3 linked regions of the Saccharomyces cerevisiae S288C genome follow. The protein of the gene in region 3 interacts with the protein of the main gene of each other region in a biochemical or structural test. Each region holds a gene or a part of one and is shown on either strand. Other genes may lie near its edges.

The links.
Region 1: the proteins of CEF1 (region 3) and CWC22 form a complex in vitro, tested with the Saccharomyces cerevisiae proteins (one study listed by BioGRID).
Region 2: the proteins of CEF1 (region 3) and MSL1 form a complex in vitro, tested with the Saccharomyces cerevisiae proteins (one study listed by BioGRID).

Annotation. Positions count from the first base shown.
Region 1 is NC_001139.9:1,044,844-1,051,585, forward strand, and holds CWC22 (U2-type spliceosomal complex subunit CWC22), read left to right. Parts: upstream 1-1,887; coding exon 1,888-3,621; downstream 3,622-6,742. Other genes in the region: RNH70 (Rnh70p), read right to left, coding at 1-637; CAB4 (putative pantetheine-phosphate adenylyltransferase), read right to left, coding at 801-1,718; SCW4 (putative family 17 glucosidase), read right to left, coding at 3,955-5,115; PXR1 (telomerase inhibitor), read right to left, coding at 6,067-6,742. UniProt on the Saccharomyces cerevisiae protein: May be involved in pre-mRNA splicing.
Region 2 is NC_001141.2:372,951-377,981, reverse strand, and holds MSL1 (U2 snRNP complex subunit MSL1), read right to left. Parts: upstream 3,458-5,031; coding exon 3,122-3,457; downstream 1-3,121. Other genes in the region: STS1 (Sts1p), read left to right, coding at 1-695; MIND complex subunit DSN1, read right to left, coding at 821-2,551; DNA primase subunit PRI1, read left to right, coding at 3,676-4,905; EGH1 (hydrolase), read right to left, coding at 4,984-5,031.
Region 3 is NC_001145.3:686,374-695,653, reverse strand, and holds CEF1 (Cef1p), read right to left. Parts: upstream 2,274-9,280; coding exon 501-2,273; downstream 1-500. Other genes in the region: SCJ1 (Scj1p), read right to left, coding at 1-304; EFR3 (Efr3p), read left to right, coding at 2,611-4,959; DML1 (Dml1p), read right to left, coding at 5,144-6,571; MGL2 (putative carboxylic ester hydrolase), read right to left, coding at 6,789-8,138; YMR209C (uncharacterized protein), read left to right, coding at 8,370-9,280. UniProt on the Saccharomyces cerevisiae protein: Involved in pre-mRNA splicing and cell cycle control.

The DNA of each region.
Region 1 (6,742 bases), on a different chromosome or scaffold from region 3:
CCCAGTCTGTATCAAAATTGGTGTCTCCAGAATCCAGTGGGTAATCGTTTGCCACTAACTGTTGTTCGGATAGAACCAAATCGTTAATAGTAATTTTCTTCTTCTTTTGTAACTCTTTCAATTTATTTATTTTCTCCATTTTGGACAATCCAACATTAATAAATGAATTGTAGGGCGAAAAGAGCGTCATCTTGGAACCAGGTGCCATCACGGGAAATGTATGAAACGTGGAGGCAATTTCTCCAGGAATATATTTGAAGTTATCATCACTGATTTCATTAAAGGTATTTTTTCCGTTCTCAAAATCATCTGGTTGTAAACCTGGAATGAACAGAACTATCATTTTCTGTAAACTTGACCTGTTACAAATATCAATCCATTTGGGAGAGTTGTTTTCAGCCTGCAACAAGTATTGAGTCATGTCTCTTACATCCTTTATACCAATACCTTTTTCAACCACAGACTTTAGCAATGTGCATGTCATAGGCTTTGCCTTTTTTTTCTTCTTATTCTTATTCACTTCCGATACCACATTTGTATGATCATCCTCTTGTACAGAAGTCTTGGATAACCTTCTTTTCTTTGATCCCAAAGCCAAATCACTCACGAAGTTAGTGTCAGGCCCTTCTACTTGCATGTTTGCCTGAGTATAGTCTATTATTGTTTTCTTCCTCAGTCATCCTTGGTATTGCCATCGAGCAAAAATCTTCCCTCCATTTCTATTGTGTCCTCGCGCCACTTATAAAATACTAACAATAAAATAATAGTGAACTACAACAATAAAATATACAAAAATATGTTTATACGCAAGGGTTTTGTGGAGTGCACGTTGGCGAAGCAGAGGACTTAAGTAGGCGTCTGATTTCCGTGCTGCTTAACTTCTCGCTCCAGCCGTCTTCCTCCCTTCCTCCAAGTACATTAACCACATGTACTGCCAATGGGCTCATGCCTTTTTCAATCCTAGTCTTATTCACAGTCTCTGCCCCACTGACGGTTTCTCTACTCACAACTAAACATTCTATCTCGGGTACTTTCCCTGTGGGGCCGCACACGTCCCTTAAGGGAACTAGTTCTACGGAGAGATCCGGTTTTAACAACTTGATGAATTGATGTACGTGCCTGCATCGTGTATCATAAGGTTCAATCAACTCTTTGTATTTCTTGTTTTGCAAGAGCTCATCGCACGTAATTCCACAAATTAACCTTTGTGACGTGATGAATGTAGAGACGCTCAACAATATTTTATGTCCATCGTGAATGTGGTCGAACGTTCCGCCCAATGCGGTGACATGAAATTTGTTAGCATCTTTGGGACCTTCTATCTCTTCCATTATATTATCGTGTAATGCATAATGTTCTATACTATGGTATTGTCCTTGTCCCAACTCTAGCTTCCAAGTTTCAAAAGTGGATTCCTGTGGCAATAAAACCACTTTCCATTGCAAATTACTCTCGACGAAATGAATATTGTTGAATATGATGTTGATTCCGCTGTTGATCATTCCATAGCCCAAAAGGACATCCCTGGTAATACTGTACATCTTCCCTAGCGCAGAATCCAACTGGAATGAGGTTTTGAATTCAGGTACAATCACGATGTCTAGTTGACTTTGACATTCTCTTAAGAACGGAATAGTTTGCCCTATAATCCTCTGCAAAGTAGCACTAGGCGGTGTATAAGGAAGAACAATCAAAACTCTGGAATTTTCCTCAACCATCTTACACTTCTTTACTTTAGATTTTTAGGTTTAATCACGTCTCTTTTTATGACGGTCCTTATTTTTATCTTTTTCCATTACGTACTCTTGAAAAATTATATTACACTGATATTTATTTTGGCATTGTGAGTAAGAAACCTAAAAAGGAATAAAAAGGCTACAAACCAGCATGTCTACCGCTACCATACAGGATGAAGACATTAAATTTCAGAGAGAAAACTGGGAAATGATAAGGTCACACGTTTCACCCATAATATCCAATTTAACAATGGACAACTTACAGGAATCGCACAGAGACTTATTTCAAGTCAATATACTTATTGGCCGCAACATAATTTGTAAAAATGTTGTGGATTTTACTCTGAACAAACAGAATGGCAGGCTAATCCCTGCTTTATCCGCTTTGATTGCCTTGCTAAATTCTGATATTCCAGATATTGGAGAAACTTTAGCAAAAGAACTAATGTTAATGTTCGTGCAGCAATTCAATCGCAAAGATTACGTGTCCTGCGGAAATATCCTTCAATGTCTGTCCATTTTATTTCTTTATGATGTAATTCATGAAATCGTGATCTTACAGATTCTATTGCTACTCCTTGAAAAGAATTCTTTACGACTGGTCATTGCCGTGATGAAAATATGTGGCTGGAAACTTGCACTTGTCAGTAAGAAAACCCATGATATGATTTGGGAGAAGTTAAGATATATTTTGCAAACACAGGAGTTATCTAGTACACTACGTGAGTCGTTAGAGACTCTGTTTGAAATAAGGCAAAAAGATTATAAATCTGGGTCTCAAGGTCTGTTTATATTGGACCCAACTAGTTACACAGTTCATACGCACTCCTATATTGTTAGTGATGAGGATGAAGCCAACAAAGAACTGGGAAATTTTGAAAAGTGTGAAAATTTCAATGAACTAACCATGGCGTTTGATACGCTACGACAGAAGCTGCTGATAAATAATACGTCCGACACAAATGAAGGTAGTAACAGTCAATTACAAATCTATGACATGACATCTACCAATGATGTCGAGTTTAAAAAGAAGATTTATTTGGTTCTGAAAAGTTCATTATCAGGTGACGAAGCGGCTCACAAATTGCTAAAATTAAAGATTGCGAACAATTTGAAAAAAAGCGTGGTAGATATAATCATCAAATCTAGTTTGCAGGAATCTACATTCTCTAAATTTTATTCTATTTTGTCCGAACGTATGATAACGTTCCACAGGAGTTGGCAGACAGCTTACAATGAAACTTTTGAGCAGAATTATACACAAGATATCGAAGATTATGAAACTGACCAACTGCGAATCTTAGGTAAGTTTTGGGGACACTTAATATCTTATGAATTTCTTCCAATGGACTGTCTTAAGATAATTAAGTTAACTGAGGAAGAATCGTGTCCTCAAGGAAGAATTTTCATCAAATTTTTATTTCAAGAGCTCGTAAATGAGCTCGGATTAGATGAGCTGCAATTAAGGCTAAACTCCAGCAAGCTTGACGGAATGTTTCCGCTGGAAGGAGACGCCGAACATATAAGATACTCCATAAATTTCTTTACTGCCATAGGATTGGGCCTGCTCACAGAGGACATGAGAAGCCGGTTGACAATTATTCAAGAAGTTGAGGATGCAGAGGAAGAAGAAAAAAAATTGAGAGAAGAGGAGGAACTTGAAAAGTTACGGAAGAAGGCCAGAGAGTCACAACCAACCCAAGGGCCAAAAATTCACGAATCCAGGTTATTTTTACAGAAGGACACCAGAGAAAATAGTAGATCAAGATCGCCATTCACAGTGGAAACAAGAAAACGTGCTAGATCCAGAACTCCACCAAGAGGATCGAGAAACCATCGTAACAGATCCAGGACTCCGCCTGCAAGAAGGCAACGGCATAGATGAAGAGCCCGGCCAAACAAACATTACACATGTAATCGTACATATTTACATAGAACCGTACACGCTTTTAGCCAAAAAAAAAAGAAAGGTAGAATATAAAATAAAAACTCGTATTTCGTATTAAGACAAATATACAGAAATACAAATGAGATCATAAACGAACTAAAATAGGAAAATGAAAAAAAAAAAAAAAGATTAGCGAAGGCAAACCAGAAAGCAGTCCTTTGATATAACAGAGAAAAAGAAGATTATCAAAGCCTTAATTTAAAGTTAAAAATATTGGGTATCGTTTTTTAAATCAAGATTTTTTTTGTTTTTTTTTACAATTGAGTAGACTTATTCATTGGATAGAATACCCCAGTATTTTTCAACACCGTAAGCACCGTCGGCCTTCCAGTAGTCGTTGAAGGCAGTGAATAAGAAGGTATCAGCACCACAGGAGCTGGTAATGGCGGAAACAGCGTCCTTTTGATTTTCCTTAGATGGAACAGCAACACCGTAAGTCTCACCCTTTGATGGCCAACCAGACTCAGTGATAACAACATTCTTCTTACCATCACAAGCAGTCCAGACTCTTTGGATTTGTTCTAGTAACCATTTACCGGAGTCTTGGGCAACTGTGTTCTTGTCAAAGTAAGCATGGGCATTAACAGCCATGTAGTCGGAGTAGTCACACAATTCAGGGTTGTTGATCACAGCAATAAAAGTATCAACAGAAACAACTGGACCAGTGTAACCGGCAGCCTTCAAGGCAGATCTACCAGAGTCAATGTATTGACCGACTTGGGATGGGGTAGCTTGGTTACCGTTAACCAATTCGTTACCAATGGAAACAGTGGTGACATCGTCCCAAGAACCGTAAGATTCAACAGCAGACTTGATGGTGTTGACACCGTCTTGGATTTGGTCAACGTAGTAAATACCTAAAAAGACTTTTTGGTTCGAAGCCTTAGCCTTGAAAACATTTTCAACTTGGTTACAGTCGGTACCGTACAATCTAATGACTGGGAAGTCAGTCAATTGAGCTAAATCGGAAGCAACTTCCGAAGCGGATTTACAAGCACCGCTGGACTCGTATGGGGTATAAGTGATACCTCTGACACCAGAGGCAAAGCTGCTGACGTCTTCGCCGGAAGAACTAGAGGAAGAAGCTTGGGAGGAAGAGGAAGATTGAGTAGATGTAGCAGCAGAGCTGGAGGCTGGAGATGCGGCAGCAGAAACTTGTGAGTTGTTCTCAGAAGAGGAAGCAGCAGCGGTAGCTACAGAAGCAGCAGACGATGTTGTACTGGTAGCGGCAGCTGGAGCGGAGTTGACAACAGCATTTTCTTCCAAAGCAGCAACTGGAGTTGAAGCGGCACCATTAACAATGATAGTGGTTTGTTTTTGAACAGTGGTAGTGACCACAGCACGCTTGTCCTTGTGTTCGTGGTTAGCGGGAGCAGCAAGAGTAGCAGCAGATAAAAGAGAGGCAGAAGCAATTAGGTTAGAGAGACGCATATTTTTCTAGTTTGCTTTTCGGTATGGCTTGCTAGTATATAAACGATTGTAGATGTAAAAGAATGACTTAGTTGGATTTAGTTAGATATCTAGCTGGACCTTTGTGTAAACACTATTAAAAGAATAGAATAAGGGCTAAAAGAACTACTAAACAGAAAACAATTATGACAGAAGATAAAGAATACATATCTATTAGTTTTATAAAACAGAGATCTTCTCCTCGAGGAATGGGAGAAAACAGAAAAAAAAAAACAAAAACAACGGTGCCGTTTTTGAAACAACACCACAAGAGAAAATTTCTGAAAAAAATGCGCGTGAAAAGGAATCATGTGCCTATTTTCCTCATTTGGAGAGGCTAAACGAAAAGGGAAAAGAGGTGCGTTGCGCGTGTTTCTAGGGAGAAGATCCTATTGCAGCAGGGTGTCGCGCGAAAAGCGGTGCCTACAAATTACAAAACCCTCTGGGAAATGACCGTGCAGGGTCGTTTGTGGATGCATCTCGATTAGGCCGGGCTAGGCATCTTGATTCTTTCCCAAAATGGAGTTAACGAGCTCGATTGGGCGTTAATTGATGGATTTGGTTACACTGATACGAATTGAGCCCGTTTATCATTCATGCAGCGGCTTTATGGAGGGTGTGGAAGACGTTAGCGATGTTATGCTTTCCACTTGCTCTACTATCTTCCATCAAACCCACCTAATAAAGCTGAAGGTTTTGCAGGGGCAGAAGTCGTGGCGCAATAAGTTCAATAAATACTTATAATATTACTTACTAGTTTAATCATGTATGTAAAAACTCGTTGCGGTATGCTGTCGTACTGGCACACATTTTTTTTTTTCATTTTTATTTGCTTTTTTCTTTGGCACCGGGGAAGAATTTTTCCCCACTCTATATATCTTGCTGCGTGTGCAGACTGGCCAGCTGCTCACACAATGAAACGCAATGGAATGTTTAGTCGTTTGTTATCATAAAGATCTCATTCAGTGCCTTGGAGTCCATCAACGCGGCCCTCTTTTGTTTTATCCATTTGGAGCGCACCGATAGTCTTGTGTTTACCGCATCGGGGATATTGGATGCAGATTCACTAGATTTTAATTTTGACGTCTTTTTCGTTTCTTTGGTCTTTTCCGCCCTTTTTTCCTTCTTCAATCTCTTCTCTTCCTTTTTATGTTTCTTATGCTCCTTTTTGTCCTTCTTGTCTTTTTTCTTGTCTTTCTTATGCTTTTTGTGCTTCTTGTGCTTCTTTTTATCACTGTCTTTATCCTCTTTGTCGTCATCATCTTCATCTTCGCTATCGTCTCCTTCCCTCTTTCGTTTCTTCGCGTTGGAGTAATTTCTTAACTTGTGAGTCTTTGGATCCCACGTGCTTGCTAAAACTTCACCCTTCACAAAATGGATACCCCATTTTCCGTCAATAATCTTCTGCTTTCTCTGCGTGTCCAATTCCTCTGATATTTTGCTTTCCTTTCCGTTCAGCCTACCAAGAATTCGCTGGAAGACATCCAACCCTGCGCATTCACCATTATCAAACTCGTCTTTTTTGTCTTTACGTTTTAATTTAGCACCGAGCCCAACGTTGTCGTCCTTAATTGACACTTTGATATGCGAAGTGTTCGAATTCATGGGG
Region 2 (5,031 bases), on a different chromosome or scaffold from region 3:
AGAACCAATTACAGCAGTTGTTGGTGGATTTGATGACAAAACATCCAGAAATACAACAAAGCGTACATACGAGAGTCATCGGATTAGACTTCAGTATACAAAAGTGTCTGGACATGTTGAAACAAAAATCAGAAGCCGTTTACCAGAGCATACCTTACAATAGGTCTTATGAGAGTAATAAATTAGATGACTATGCTTTCGTGAGAATGAAACCTCAAATTCTGGAGTTCTTAAACTGTTTGGTGGATTTCATACTGGATAACATTCCACCACGTTTGGAAAATTTGCACGCATCATTAAAATTCTTAGACATTTGCACGGAATTAGTTATCAAATTGCCCAGATTTGAATTAGCTAGTAATAATTACTACTACGATAAATGCATTGAACAATTGTCTCACGTATGGTGTACGCTTATTGAACATGTTGCCCGTGACAGGATAATTTTATTAGCAGATAATAGCTCCGTCTGGAAAAGTCATATGACAAGATTACAGGTATACAATGAACATTCAAATGGGTTATTGGAACGCCCACTCCAGCTGTTCAAATCTTTAGATATGGGTAGCCCTTCAGCAGCATCGTCATCAACATTATCACTTCAAGAAAGTATTATTTACCACCACGATACCATGACAGCAAACGAAAACAATAACAATAGTGGTAGCGCTGCTACTGATTCGCCCTTTAACTAAGGATAGAATGGTTCTTTTGCTTTTTCAAATACATTAATATGTATATATATGTATATATAAATGTATGACTGTGTAATGTTACATATGCAGAAGTATCCGATTTTTTTTTGATTTTTTCTTTTATTTCATAAATCCAGTTTTTTACTGAAAGATAAACTTAATCCCTTCAACAGCTGTTGAGGATTAATCACTTGTGAGTGGTCATCGTCCGTTTCGCTTGAGATCTTTCTCATTGTTTCTATGTTCAATTTATTCACTTTTGAATTTGTTATTTCGTTTAAGGCTAGTGAGTGCGAGTTTAATATATGCGACTGGTACCTTAGCTCATCGACTTTTGTTTCTAACTTTGTCTCAACATCTGCAATCGCAAGGTCTGGCTCTTCTGTATCCGACAACGGTTCCAGTGGTTGTGATGAGAATGAAGTCAATTCTTGCCATTCAAGATCTGGTCTCGAAGTGTCTAAAGTGACTGCCCATTCTTTCACTTCATTTTTGATCGCGTTCACCTTGCTCGTTAAAATGCTAAGATTCTTTGTGTTTTCCACGTTTTTGCTATTAGGTAATAGTTTTTTTGGTTCTTTCGGTAGGGCTTTTCTCCTTTCACTAAATTTACGTCTAGACCTCTGTATTTCCGAGTAGTCCACCTCATCGTCGTCGTCGTCGTCGTCGTCGTTTTCCTGAAACAGTTGTCGCAGTTCCGTGTCATCGTAGTTTTCAGTATTATCCAGAATCTTCTCCTCATCTTCATCCTCATATTTTTCCTCATCTTCCCAATCTATCGCAATATGATCTTTTTTAAGATCATCGACAAACTCTTTTATTATCACCATAGCCAGACGTTTGGGATCCACATAATCAGTTTCTGCCTTTGTTGATTCGAGCTTGGATTTTTTGGTCAGATGTTCAAGTTCCCCTTCTTCCTCTTGGTTTTTAGCCTTCAACTCCAATTTATGCAGAGATCTCATTAAACACCAGTTGAAAAGCTGTCGTATTTGTAAATTTTTACCAAAAGACGCATTTCCAACCACGGTGTAAAAATCCTCTTCAGGAATATCCTTGTGCGGAGATATAATAGTGCTTCCCCCATTAGCTTGAGATGCTAACATAGACAATCTTCTACCTCTCTGACTTCCGATTGATTTTTTCCTTTCCCTTGTTCGTTGAATGTAGTGTGGTTGCTGAAGTTGTTGTTGATGGAATGATCCGTACGGAAACAATTGCGGAGCTGGCAGCAATTGTTGTGATGAAGATATATTTTGGGGAGTAGTCATATCGGGACCGCCTGCAGCAGTGGGTTGCGAATAAAAGGGCTGTAATGAGGAGTTGGGCATAATCGAATGCATTGGTGATCCAGGATATGGTATCATTGCAGGAGTTGGTGCATTCATCGGATGGTAGTAATAGTAATAAGGCATATATGGAGCGGGCATTGCACTTGCATTAACATTCGCAGTCGCATTTGCAGTCGCATTTGCAGTCGCATTTGCAGTCGCATCTCCACTATGATTGTCGTCAGCAATTGGCGCAGAAGAATTGAAATTCTCCACTCTCTTGGCCTTTTTTATATCTTGCAGGTTATCCAGCCTTTCGCCCAGAGTAGGGAACCCCTGGATATGTTTATTCTTGTGTCGTTTGAATTTCAAATCGGGGCTCAAATTCGACACGGATTGTTTATTCTCAAAATATTCGGTCTCCTCCTCATCTTTCTGGGTGGGCTCGTTGCTTTGTAGAGTAGCCTTGGAGTCGGATTCCAATATTGGGATAGTTTCCATCCGCAATGGGTATACTTGTTTGTGTGTTCTTTGATGCAGCATCGGCGGCGTACCGGAGACCGTTTGTGTGGGTTCCAGACTCATCCTCTACCTAAATAAAGAAAAATTTGTGTGTGGTACAATAGAAGAGGCCCGGTTTCACAACTCTGCCTGGTACTTTGTGCTTTTATCAATTGGCGGTTCTTTTGATGTTTATTTTGATTTGTTTATCATTTGTGAATTTTTGCTTTTACTAGAAATATATATCATTTTAAACGAAGCCACATATAAACGCTGAACTACACTGTAATTCATCATATAGTAAGCTGTCTTATATACTAAATTATCACTTCCAAAATGTAATAAACGTCTTTTGGCAATGGGGTACTCTGTGGTTTGCCCTTTGTATTATTTAAGCAATTGAAGTGAGGAATAAGCGGCCGTTCTGCAGTATGTCTTTTCGGGAGACTCTTTCTGCTACAGATTTTTGTAGATTCTATATCTACTCCATATTGATACATGCCTTGATATTATTTGTCCGTTGACGACCATCTATAACGCCGGGTTGTTTGGATATAAACATTTTGGTTTGGTTCTGCGCTCTTGACTTTGATGTGCCCCTATGGCAGCTCTTCTCGGTATATACGTGCTGCTATGAATAGAGCGTTAAGCCAGTCATAGTGTTTTAGTTTCACTCTTGCTGAACTCAACTTTCAAAGGCTTACCAAAGAATCGCTCGCCGTTTAATGAAATCTGGGCCAGACTGGCCTGGTCGATGGTTCTCATGGTGATAAAGGCTTGGCCCCGCTGTTTCTTGAAATTCATGCTAACCTTCAGTACCTCTCCAAACGTAGCAAAGAGCAAAAAAAGGTTTACTCGCAGTCGTTGCATATTAATTTTTTCATTAAGCTGGCTCACGTACAGCGTATTTTTAGCTTCCGTTACTGGTTCAGCCACAGTGTGATGAGTATCGCGATCAATCCTCTGCTTTTTCCTTGCTGGTTCAACCATTACTATATCCTACGTGTGAATGATGCGTGAGTTTCGAAACAGTTGCTCGGTCAGTGCCCTTTGCCACTTTTACCTATTGTTTTCTTTCAGTTGAAAAGTTTCATAACGCCAAAAAGATAAAAAATTAATCAAAAATACTTTGAAGCTGAAGAGAAAAGCGTGCCATAATACTAGCAAAAATTAGTTTTAGCAACTCAAAAAACTGTTTTATAAACATCATGACCAATTCAGTAAAGACTAATGGGCCAAGCTCCTCAGACATGGAGTACTACTATAAGTCGCTCTATCCATTCAAACACATTTTCAACTGGCTGAATCATTCGCCCAAACCTTCTAGGGATATGATTAACAGAGAATTCGCTATGGCGTTCAGGTCAGGTGCTTACAAAAGGTATAATTCTTTTAACTCTGTGCAAGATTTCAAAGCACAAATAGAAAAAGCCAACCCAGACAGATTTGAAATCGGTGCCATATATAACAAACCGCCAAGAGAACGTGATACTCTATTAAAAAGCGAATTGAAAGCTTTAGAGAAGGAGTTGGTGTTTGATATTGATATGGATGATTACGATGCCTTCAGAACGTGTTGCTCCGGAGCCCAAGTTTGCTCTAAGTGCTGGAAATTTATATCTTTGGCAATGAAAATTACGAACACGGCCCTAAGAGAGGATTTTGGTTATAAGGACTTCATCTGGGTATTTTCAGGTAGACGTGGTGCTCATTGTTGGGTAAGCGACAAACGGGCACGGGCTTTGACGGATGTACAACGAAGAAACGTTTTAGATTATGTCAACGTGATTAGAGACAGAAATACTGACAAGCGATTGGCTTTGAAGAGGCCTTATCACCCTCATCTTGCTCGTTCTTTGGAGCAATTGAAACCTTTCTTTGTCAGCATTATGCTCGAAGAGCAAAATCCTTGGGAAGATGACCAACATGCTATCCAAACTTTATTGCCTGCATTATATGATAAACAATTGATTGATTCATTAAAGAAGTATTGGCTGGACAATCCAAGGAGGTCAAGCAAAGAGAAGTGGAATGATATAGATCAGATAGCTACATCGCTCTTCAAAGGCCCCAAGCAAGACTCTCACATAATTAAGTTACGTGAATGTAAGGAAGATCTCGTATTGATGACTCTTTATCCGAAGCTGGATGTGGAAGTTACAAAGCAAACAATTCATTTGTTAAAGGCCCCTTTTTGTATTCATCCTGCTACGGGGAATGTCTGTGTGCCTATTGATGAATCCTTTGCACCTGAAAAAGCACCTAAGCTAATTGATCTTCAAACAGAAATGGAGAAAAATAATGATGTTTCATTAACAGCTTTACAACCTTTTATCAATCAGTTCCAAGCATATGTGAGTTCTCTTTTGAAAAATGAACTGGGTTCAGTGAAAAGAGAACGTGAAGATGATGATGAACCGGCTTCTTTAGATTTCTGATGGTGAAATCTTTTTGTAACAATAAAAAGGGTGTATATATATATATATGACTACTATAGCTTTTGGTTCAATTTTTGTTTAGCTGATAACGCATTCCGCTGGTAAGTCATTCGAAGTGTCACTTCC
Region 3 (9,280 bases):
CTGGACCGCCACCGCCACCGCCATTCTTTACAGCATCTGCACCAAACTGGTCATAAATCTTTTTCTTTTCAGGATCGCTCAATACATCGTATGCCTCGCCGACTTCAATGAATTTTTGATGGGCTTCTTCGCTCCCAGCATTTTTATCCGGATGGTACTTCTTAGACAATTGTCTGTACGCTGATTTGATTTCCTTCTCAGTGGCATCTTTGTCTATCTCTAGTATTGCATAATAATCCTGCGCCAAAATTAGCGGCAACAACAATAAAGATAGTATCAAATGTATATATAATTTTGGAATCATTGTCCTCGATCTTTTCGCCAGCCAATGCACGCTCTTCTGGCCTATCCACCATGTTTTGTCAGTACTACATCTTATTACCATCGCTGGTTTGCCGATGTGGCCAACTTGGCAAGAAAACGTTCTAACTCCGGGTAATGCGTTGTCACAAGTCCTCTATGTCCTAGTTCATAAAAGTTATATTAATGCTATACTAATGCTATATGGAAGAAGAAGAATTTAGCATGGCTTGAAGACGCTTTCTACGACCCTCAAGCGATCGTATCTCTTGTCGGTAGGCGTAGTAATCAGCGTAGTACTTGCGTTGCCCTTCAATCAAAGCGGGCAGGCTGTGATGGCAGAGGGTACTGCACATCTCGTTATTCTGTTGTTCCAGTGGTTGCACATGTTGTAGTTTACGCTGTAACTGTTCAATAGACTCCACTTTTGATTGGATCGATTCCAGAAGAACCTCAGTTGGGGGCATTGCTGTTTTGAATTGTATTTTCATGGAAGTGCGCCCTTGGGTTATATGCTGCATACGCGACTCCACCTCTTTGAGAAAATCTACCGTATCTTCTGGTACCATGTGAGGTTCTTTGTTTATGGCGTTCGCGACTAGCAAGTTGTACTTATTGTCAATCGCGGACTGCGGATTGTTTTTGAATTCTGGTATGGGTAGCGTTGAGTAAGCTAATGGAACGGCTACTAATGAGACGCGTGGCGCATCATTTTGAGATGGTGGTTCTATGAAGTTGTCCTCTTCATTCATCGCTCTTTCATTTTCAAATTCTTTCTCGTATTCCGCTATCTCTGCATCTTCTTCTTTCTCGTCTTCACTTAATACAATTTCGAAATCGTTCTTGGGACTAGGCAAAGATGCGAACATTTGCACTAAAAATTTTCGTATGCGTGATTTTAGCTGTTTACCACTCTTTATATTACTGCGTTCATTATCTTCTTGGCCGGAGTCGTGGGGTAGTAGTTCTTTTGGTGTCAACACAGTGCCAGTTGCTTGTGCCTCGATTAGTTTTTGTCTTTTGCTTTCTAGCTTTTTTTTATAGGTGACTTTTCCCTGTTTCGTTCCTGGTGCAGATAGTATAAGTTTTGGTTTTTTATACTCATCCGTCAATGTAGTAGATTCACCCAGTGCTGCTTTCTCAACGTGTTCGTTCTCATCGTGTTTTCTTTTTTTGTCCTTATTTTTTTTACTTGGCTTATCCTTATTACCATCCAAACCTTTTCTGTTGACTTTTCTCTCAAACTGCTCAAACTTCTTTTTTATCTGGCGGTCTTCAGTGGACGTGTCATATATACCTGGCATGGGAGCTTGTTCATATACTATATCTTCATTGTAATCAATGTCGGTGCCGTATTTTTTTTTCGGTTTCTTAATGGCAACATTAATTCCTGCTTGCTTTAGCTCACGCCTCTTTTGTAGTTCAGCAATGCGTTTTGATTCTTCGAGCATCCGCTCTCTAATCTTTCTTGTAGCCTTCTTACCTTGGGTATTTAACAGACGAGCCCTAGCTTCAGCAAGCATTTCCTTTTCCTCATCTTCCAAATCACCATTATCTGGTCTAGCCATTTGAGTTTCAGCGTTAGGATTAATATCCCCGGCTTTCAAGTCAGTAACTCCTGTACTTAACGCAGCCCCTCCACTGTCTTCACTTTCTAATAGCCTATTATATCTTTCGACGCAGACCTGTGCAGGCCTGGCCATCATATCAGCTATGGTCCTCCACTGATTAGGCAGCTCTCTTGCAAGATCTAGAAGTTGGGCATCCTCCTCCTTCGAGAACTCTGTAAAATTCAACTTTGGATTTAAATATTCATTCCACCTTAATTCACTCTGCCTGGCAGTCTTTTTCTGCAAAAGGGATGCTACTTTGCTCCACTGATGAGTTCCGTATTTTTGTACAGCCGCTTTAAGAATCTGATCCTCCACATTGGTCCATACACCGCCTTTCACGTATATTGGTACGGGGGGCATCTTGAAATGCTAGTATAGTCCTCTTAGAAATGTTTTGCTTTTTTTCTTTACTATCTTCCTGAGTCGCATATGCTTTTTTGTCATAATAGTTCATAGCATTAATTTTTCATTAAACTTCAACCCCGGCCAAAGGAAGAGGAAGAAAATTTTGTTCGAACTACTAGGAAGGTAATGGTTTTGTTGAAAAAGCCAGGCAGCCAGGATAAATTGAAAGTATTGTGAGCAACCCCGCTATTGGAGTAGTATTAATTCAGTGGCAGACTGTATATTGAACCCAGATCATTCGCTCTATTATTCATCTTTCGTTCATTTTCAATTGTTCTGAAAGTGGTTTGCGATGCAGTTGTCTATGCGGATGATGTTCACACCAAAACATCAGAAACTGGTCAATCAATGTTATCCTACGGGAAGGACCACAGATAAGAAGCCTAAATCTTCGGAAACTTCATATTTGCTATATTACGTTAACTCGAGGCGTAGTAAATTGGAGAAAGTTAGCACTTACCTGATTAAGCGTTCCACTTCCGACTTGAACCATCGGCGCATAGGGAACATAGCCGTTACATTGGATTTAATGAACAAAATTGTGTTGCATTGTAAGGAGAATTTGAATGTATTTGTTAAAGATTTTTTGTACATTATGAACAAAGTTCTTTCCAACAACAATTTTAACAATGATGTATCTGTTGTTGAATTAATAGAACTGGCATTTAGTAGTATATGCCAGAACTTGGACGACGTCTTGTGTAACGGTGACATGGAATTCGTCCAGTTATACCAGAACTTTGTTGATCTTTTTTTTAAAATAGTTACTGAAAGAATTCATAATGATGACATGCTTCTGAAATGCTGTATTGATATATCAAACACAAATAGTGTTTCAAGCAACCCACAACTAAACCACTTTGTTTCCAAGTCTGTTGCCTATACTATTTCAAAGTTCCAAGAGAGAAATCCGAAATTTAAAACTTTGTCGCTGGAAGCAGCTCTGGAGAGCAATTTAGGAAAAAGGCTAAGTCGAACACAAACTCGTACAATTGGGTTAGATAAGGCCGCCGAAGATAATCATGACCTTTCAGTAAAAGCATTGCAATCCTATTTTAACACAACTGAGACAGACAAATTGAATTTGTCTATTCGTACTCTGTTGCGCTGTCTGCAAAGTACACCTAATAAGGAACTGCTAGAGTTTGTATGCAATGGTATACCTGTTCAGTTACGATATATTGTTATACTTCTTTTGGTCAGACAACTAAGCGACAAGGATAAAAATGTAAATCCAATTGTTTCCTTGAAATTGATGTCGTCATTACTTGTTTCAGATGTCAGTATAGTGGGGTTGAGTGTTCTTGATATAATGAGAAAGCTTTTAAATTTCCAGTTGAAAAATGCAACTAATAAAGAAGTTGTGGCACAGTCTTGTATCACCATGACAGACCTTAACCATAAAACTTATTACGCTGAACAGACCTCAGATATGTTATATGAACTACTATTGAAATTGAAAAGTGACACCGTCAAGGATGTTGAAAAGAATGCAGTTGTGGAAGATATTGATTTCCTCGTTGAACATATTACGCAGCCAAGTATCAGTTTGGAATTATTCATCGACTTGGCGCATTACATGAAAAACCACATTATATGTTTATTTAACATTGTTGAAACTGAGGTTCCAAGCAGCATTCTCTTTTCAAAACTGTACTCATTATTACGTGAACTGGATTCACATGGTGTGCAAAAAGAAATGATGGAAGAGATCTTTGACAAGTATGGAAAAATGGCACTATTATCCGGTTTGAATTATTTTCTAGAGAACGTTTCTGAGCCTGAGTATACCTATTATTCGTACCATTTACAAGCAGCTAACTTTTTAAAACTCAATGACTACAAGTCACAAACTGAGTACAAAATGCAAACTAGAACTTTGTTTACCAAGGAAGATTTATTGTCATACTATTCTGATACTGGATCAAATAAATACAGCAAGAAGGGGGCGCAGATTTTATTGTCTCGTGATAATCAAATTTCTACTTCTGATTTACTGTCGGACTCTCAAGTTCGTACTACACCTCTGGAGTACAAGAATGTCCCTAATGCTATTTTTTCAAATGGGAAAGCAGTGTATGATAACAACGATTTTGCGGCCAAGCAAAATAAATTCGACAACAGCATAGATGACAATATAGAAGAAGCTAACGATACTGTAATTTCTGATGCTAATGCAAAAGGTAGTATCTATAGGTTTGTTGCTGAGGACGCAAGATCATGGAAAACAATGAGAGCCACCGCACCAAAAGTTAGCGATTTGAAAAAAACTATGAATGAAAAGAATATTCCAAATAATATGAAAAGAGATGGCTCTTTTCGGGGTTCTCAATCAGTGAAATCTCGTGTCACTAATATCACATTTTTATTAAATGAATTGAAAACTTTTTCAGATGACGCGAATAAAATCAAAGATCCTGATGAGGAGAATATTGTTGGCTTGGATAAAATCGACGTTGCTAGATCAAATTCTCTGCGACTTGCACCAATATCTAGTCTTTCTGATCGCAGTAGCATTGGAAATAGAAAATCCTTTTTGCAAAAAACAGCAACTGGTGAAAATCAAAACGATGACTTTAAAGACGCAAATGAAGATTTACATTCTTTAAGTTCAAGAGGTAAAATTTTCTCCTCCACTTGAGAAATTAAGTTTTTGACGGACAGCTGTGGATGCTTTCAAGGGCAAGAGTGATATAGCATGACTTTCTAATTAATGTAATTTACGTAGATATAGATCAAATGGCGAAGTAAAAACTTCGAAAAAGATGGAAGAAGTCCTGTTTGCCTCAACTGGAGAAAGGAAATACGTAGCTGCAAACTGCTTATCACATATCGTCATCACCAGAATCTTCGTCTTCATACCACCCAGATTCGTACGCTGAGGCGTAATCGGAAAGTTCATTTTTCAATTCTTCTCTGTCACTATCATTTTTGAAGTACCTTACCACAAACTCATTCCAATGTTTGAATATATCTCGATTTTTTTCAGATGATTCTAATTCCAAAACAAATTCACGATCATTGGAAAATTCTGTCGGTATCGTATCAGATGGAAAATACCTGTGTGTATACATTTCAATCATCTTACTCCGTGAATCAGGTTCGGAATGATGTTTATGCGTTTGATTTCCTCTATCAATGAAACTTTTTGAAAATATGTGAGTAGAATTTGGTTTGTGGCTATTCTTGAAAGGAAGTACTCGAGAACAGAATGAGTAATCGGTGTCACCGATAACCATGCCAGTGACCATATTTCGCGACGAATATCCTAAGGTAATGGCAGTTGTTAGATAATCCATTGTCTTTCTTTGTTCAAGATTGCTTTGGGAAATTGTCGCATTTATAGAATCAAATATCCTACAGCTCTTTCCAGCAGTTTCCCAATTAGTTAGTCCAGGAGCAGCATACAATGGGAAGTAAAGATCGGATTCTTGCATCATATTTATTGTGCTTCTTAATTTGTTCGAAATGATCGGGAGCCATTTCTTTGAAAGTCTTTTCATAGGGAAGTCATCTGTGAATGGATCATCTTCATTGTGTCCCCATGAAAAGACCGCCTTTTTAGGTAATTCATTCCTTAATTCCACCAGTAGAGCACTAGAAAACCCGCCCCATCCACTCTCCATATCACTTACAAGATTGAAGCCTTGCAGGGTGTCACATTTTTCCAATTCTCTATGCAAATTTCCATCAAAAAACTCTTGCAAGTAATTTTCGGTAAATTCGTCATAACCAATGGAATACCTGTCAAACTTTCGCTCCCCCAAGTTTTGAAAGTCAGGTTGGTTTGGATTTTCAGTGTCATGGTACCAATTTCTCAAAATATTGAAACTTGAAGGACCATAGATAAGTTTAGAATAGTCAGACCAATACATCGTATTTTCTCTGTTCAAACAAGGCAGCGGTGCTCCTGCATCTAGAGAACTCTGATATTCGGATTTAGGTATTCTTGGATGAGTCTTTATAACTGTTTGCTCCTTGAATTTGTCTTCATTGCCGAAATGATAGTCTTGGCTTTCTGAATATTGATATGTTCCTAGTGAACCATTACCTGTACGGGCATCCCAAAGTAAGGCACGTGGTGCATATGAAATTGTTTTTGAAACTTTATCTACAACCGAATTCAGAAAAATTTTGGAGTCATTGACTTGTTGTTCTTTAGACAATTGTAAATAGCCCTCTTGTATATTGAAGAATTGAGTAGTCAAATGGTTTGCTCTCTGCGAAACCGATATCGTTACTACTTCATGCATTTTTTATTCTTGTCTGCCAATTATATATGTAATTTTAACAATTAACCCTCTTCTTCCAAGGTTTTAATTCATCGCATCGATTATATTTTGTTCCATTCGAAATTTTCCATTTTAAGTTTGGCGAAGCTTTTCACGTTTTCATTCAGAAATAATGATGTCGAACATCAAAAAAAAAAATTATCAGGTTACACATCTAAAAAGTTGACTTATTTACAAACTAATTCGCGCGAAAGGTTGTGGCTATGGGTTCGCAATTAGGATCTGGGAGTTGAACATTTTCCAAGTCAGGTTTTAAGCCCTTTACAGTAATTTCGTCGTGAAATATTTTCAAAAATCTGCATAAGGGTTCTGCGTACCACCTTCTGCCGGATCTGTCTTTGAACCATCCAACATGCCCCCCCGTCGAAGTTTCTAGAAGCAAAGTGTATGGATTGGATTTTATTTGGTCTATAGGAAGATCACCTCCGACAATTGGGTCATCCTGAGCATGCAAAGCTATAAAAGGAGTTCTGATCCCGGGTATTCTTTTATATGATGAAGCATTCTTGTAATACTCCTCTGCATTTTTATATCCAAACATTGGGCCTGTCAACAAGTTATCAAATTGCCTCACAGTGCGAATCTTTTTTAAATGCTTCTCGATAACATCTTTGAAATCAGGGTTTTCTTCCAGAGTAGAGAGATGGTTTCGAACCATGCGTAGTAAGTTGTGACCCAAAGCAGGTGAATAAAATCGTGACCCCATTGGTGTACTGTTAATAAAATATGCAGAGTTGTACAGGTCAAATGGATTACTCACGGAAATAGCACATTCGATTTTAGTACGATCTGACTCTTCTCCCAAGTAATTTGTCATTATAGATGCGCCTAACGAAAATCCCATCATATAAAACTTTCTATTCGGAAATCTTTTCCTCAAGTCATTAACACAATATCTTATATCATTGGTCCAACCACCGTTGTATAATAGCGGCGTTGTAATTGCAGAATAACAACATCCTCTAGCATTAAACACGCATGCTTCAAAGTCATACTTCGTGGTGATTTCATGAACAATTGCCCTCACGTAGCTTTCCCTCGAACCCCCTGTTAATCCATGGAGAATAATAAGCATAGGCTTAGCATCGTCTGAGTTCAATTTAGGATCATCAGGGGAATAGTACGAATATCTTCGTTTCAAGTTTCCGTTAAATACCGGTTGACTTGTCGGCACGTATTCTTTTTCCACTTTTCTTCTTTTGGTACTTCTACCATTTACAGCAAAATCCACAGTCCCTTCTCCCCCATGTGGGTATTTGATTATCATTCTTTTATATTGAACTTTGTATATATTGTCAAAGTGTCTAAAGGAACCATATGCAGTTTGTAAATGGCCATTGACCAGTAAACCATATAAAGTGTCAGTAGCACCGTCAGCTAATTCAGGAACTTTAGTATCTATTAGCTCAGGGATGGTGATCTCTTTATTTTCATTCTCTCGTTTATCGGTGGACTTGAATGCAATAGGATCCTCAGGGACCTCTTGATGAACAATCAAAAAATTAGGTAACAATTCTTTTAGACGCATATCGTCTCTGGAAGTTTACCAGCGTTTGTATAATACAGTTTTAAAATAACAAAGTAGTTGGTTTTTATCGAACTTCAAATAATTGAGACCCTTTTAAGATCCACAATACTTTTCGGGGTTAGGTAAGAAGACCCGTAAAAAAAAAAAAACGTAAACGATGCTGTACAATTAACAAATTTTTCAGGAAATAGAAGAGGTAAAAATATTGATATACGAAGTTGAGGAGCGCCAATGGTTAGCTCACTGGCATCAAATATAATTCTAGCCCTTGTGGTAGTCCTGATGACACTGCTAAGGCAAAATAAGCCGTTGCAGAGGTGGTTTGTATCATATGTTGAAAAGCTATTATCAAGAAAATCAAATCTGGCCCAAAAAGTCAGCGTTTTATCGCCCTCCTTAAAATTGGTTGATGTTGAGAAATCAATATCTGCCGATCAATCGAATCTTTCTAAAATTAATTATCAGATTCCCACTCTTCCTGATCTTACGGGGAATTTAATCCGTTTACATGAGTATCGAGCAAGAGGAGAAGGCTATAATGGCCTTTTATTTCGGAGAGCAAGACAATTAAATGGAATTTCAGAAGATCAGTTGCAAAAATTAGGCTACTTCACCAAATTAATGAAAAATAATGAGGGTATCCGAGAAAACGCAAGAGTTATTGACAAGATAATTGAGTTCACTTTAGGGAAATTGATTCATTCCAACGAACACGATGAAGAATTTACAGAGGAAATTGAAAAGATATGCGCGGAACACGGCTATAAGATTAAAGATGGTCACCTTATTCAATTGAATCCTGACTTCGTATTTCCAATAGTTTCGTCTCGAGGCAGCCAAAGTGTGGTCCATGAAGCATTAGCACATTTGTGTCGTGATTTCAGCTCTTACTATAGTGTGGAAAGAGATCCTTTACAAAATTTTATCATTAGTAGAATCAACCATCATGTGATTAGTGCCGGGGACATGAAAGAGAAAATTCTTATCGTGACCCCAGGGGCTGGTGTGGGTGGCCTATCCCATACTCTTGCCACCACTTTCCCCAAAATACAGGTGGACTCCATCGAATTATCAGCCTTGATGTACATATGTAACCTATTTGCACTCGAATATAAGCATGACGTTAAGATACGTCCTTTTGT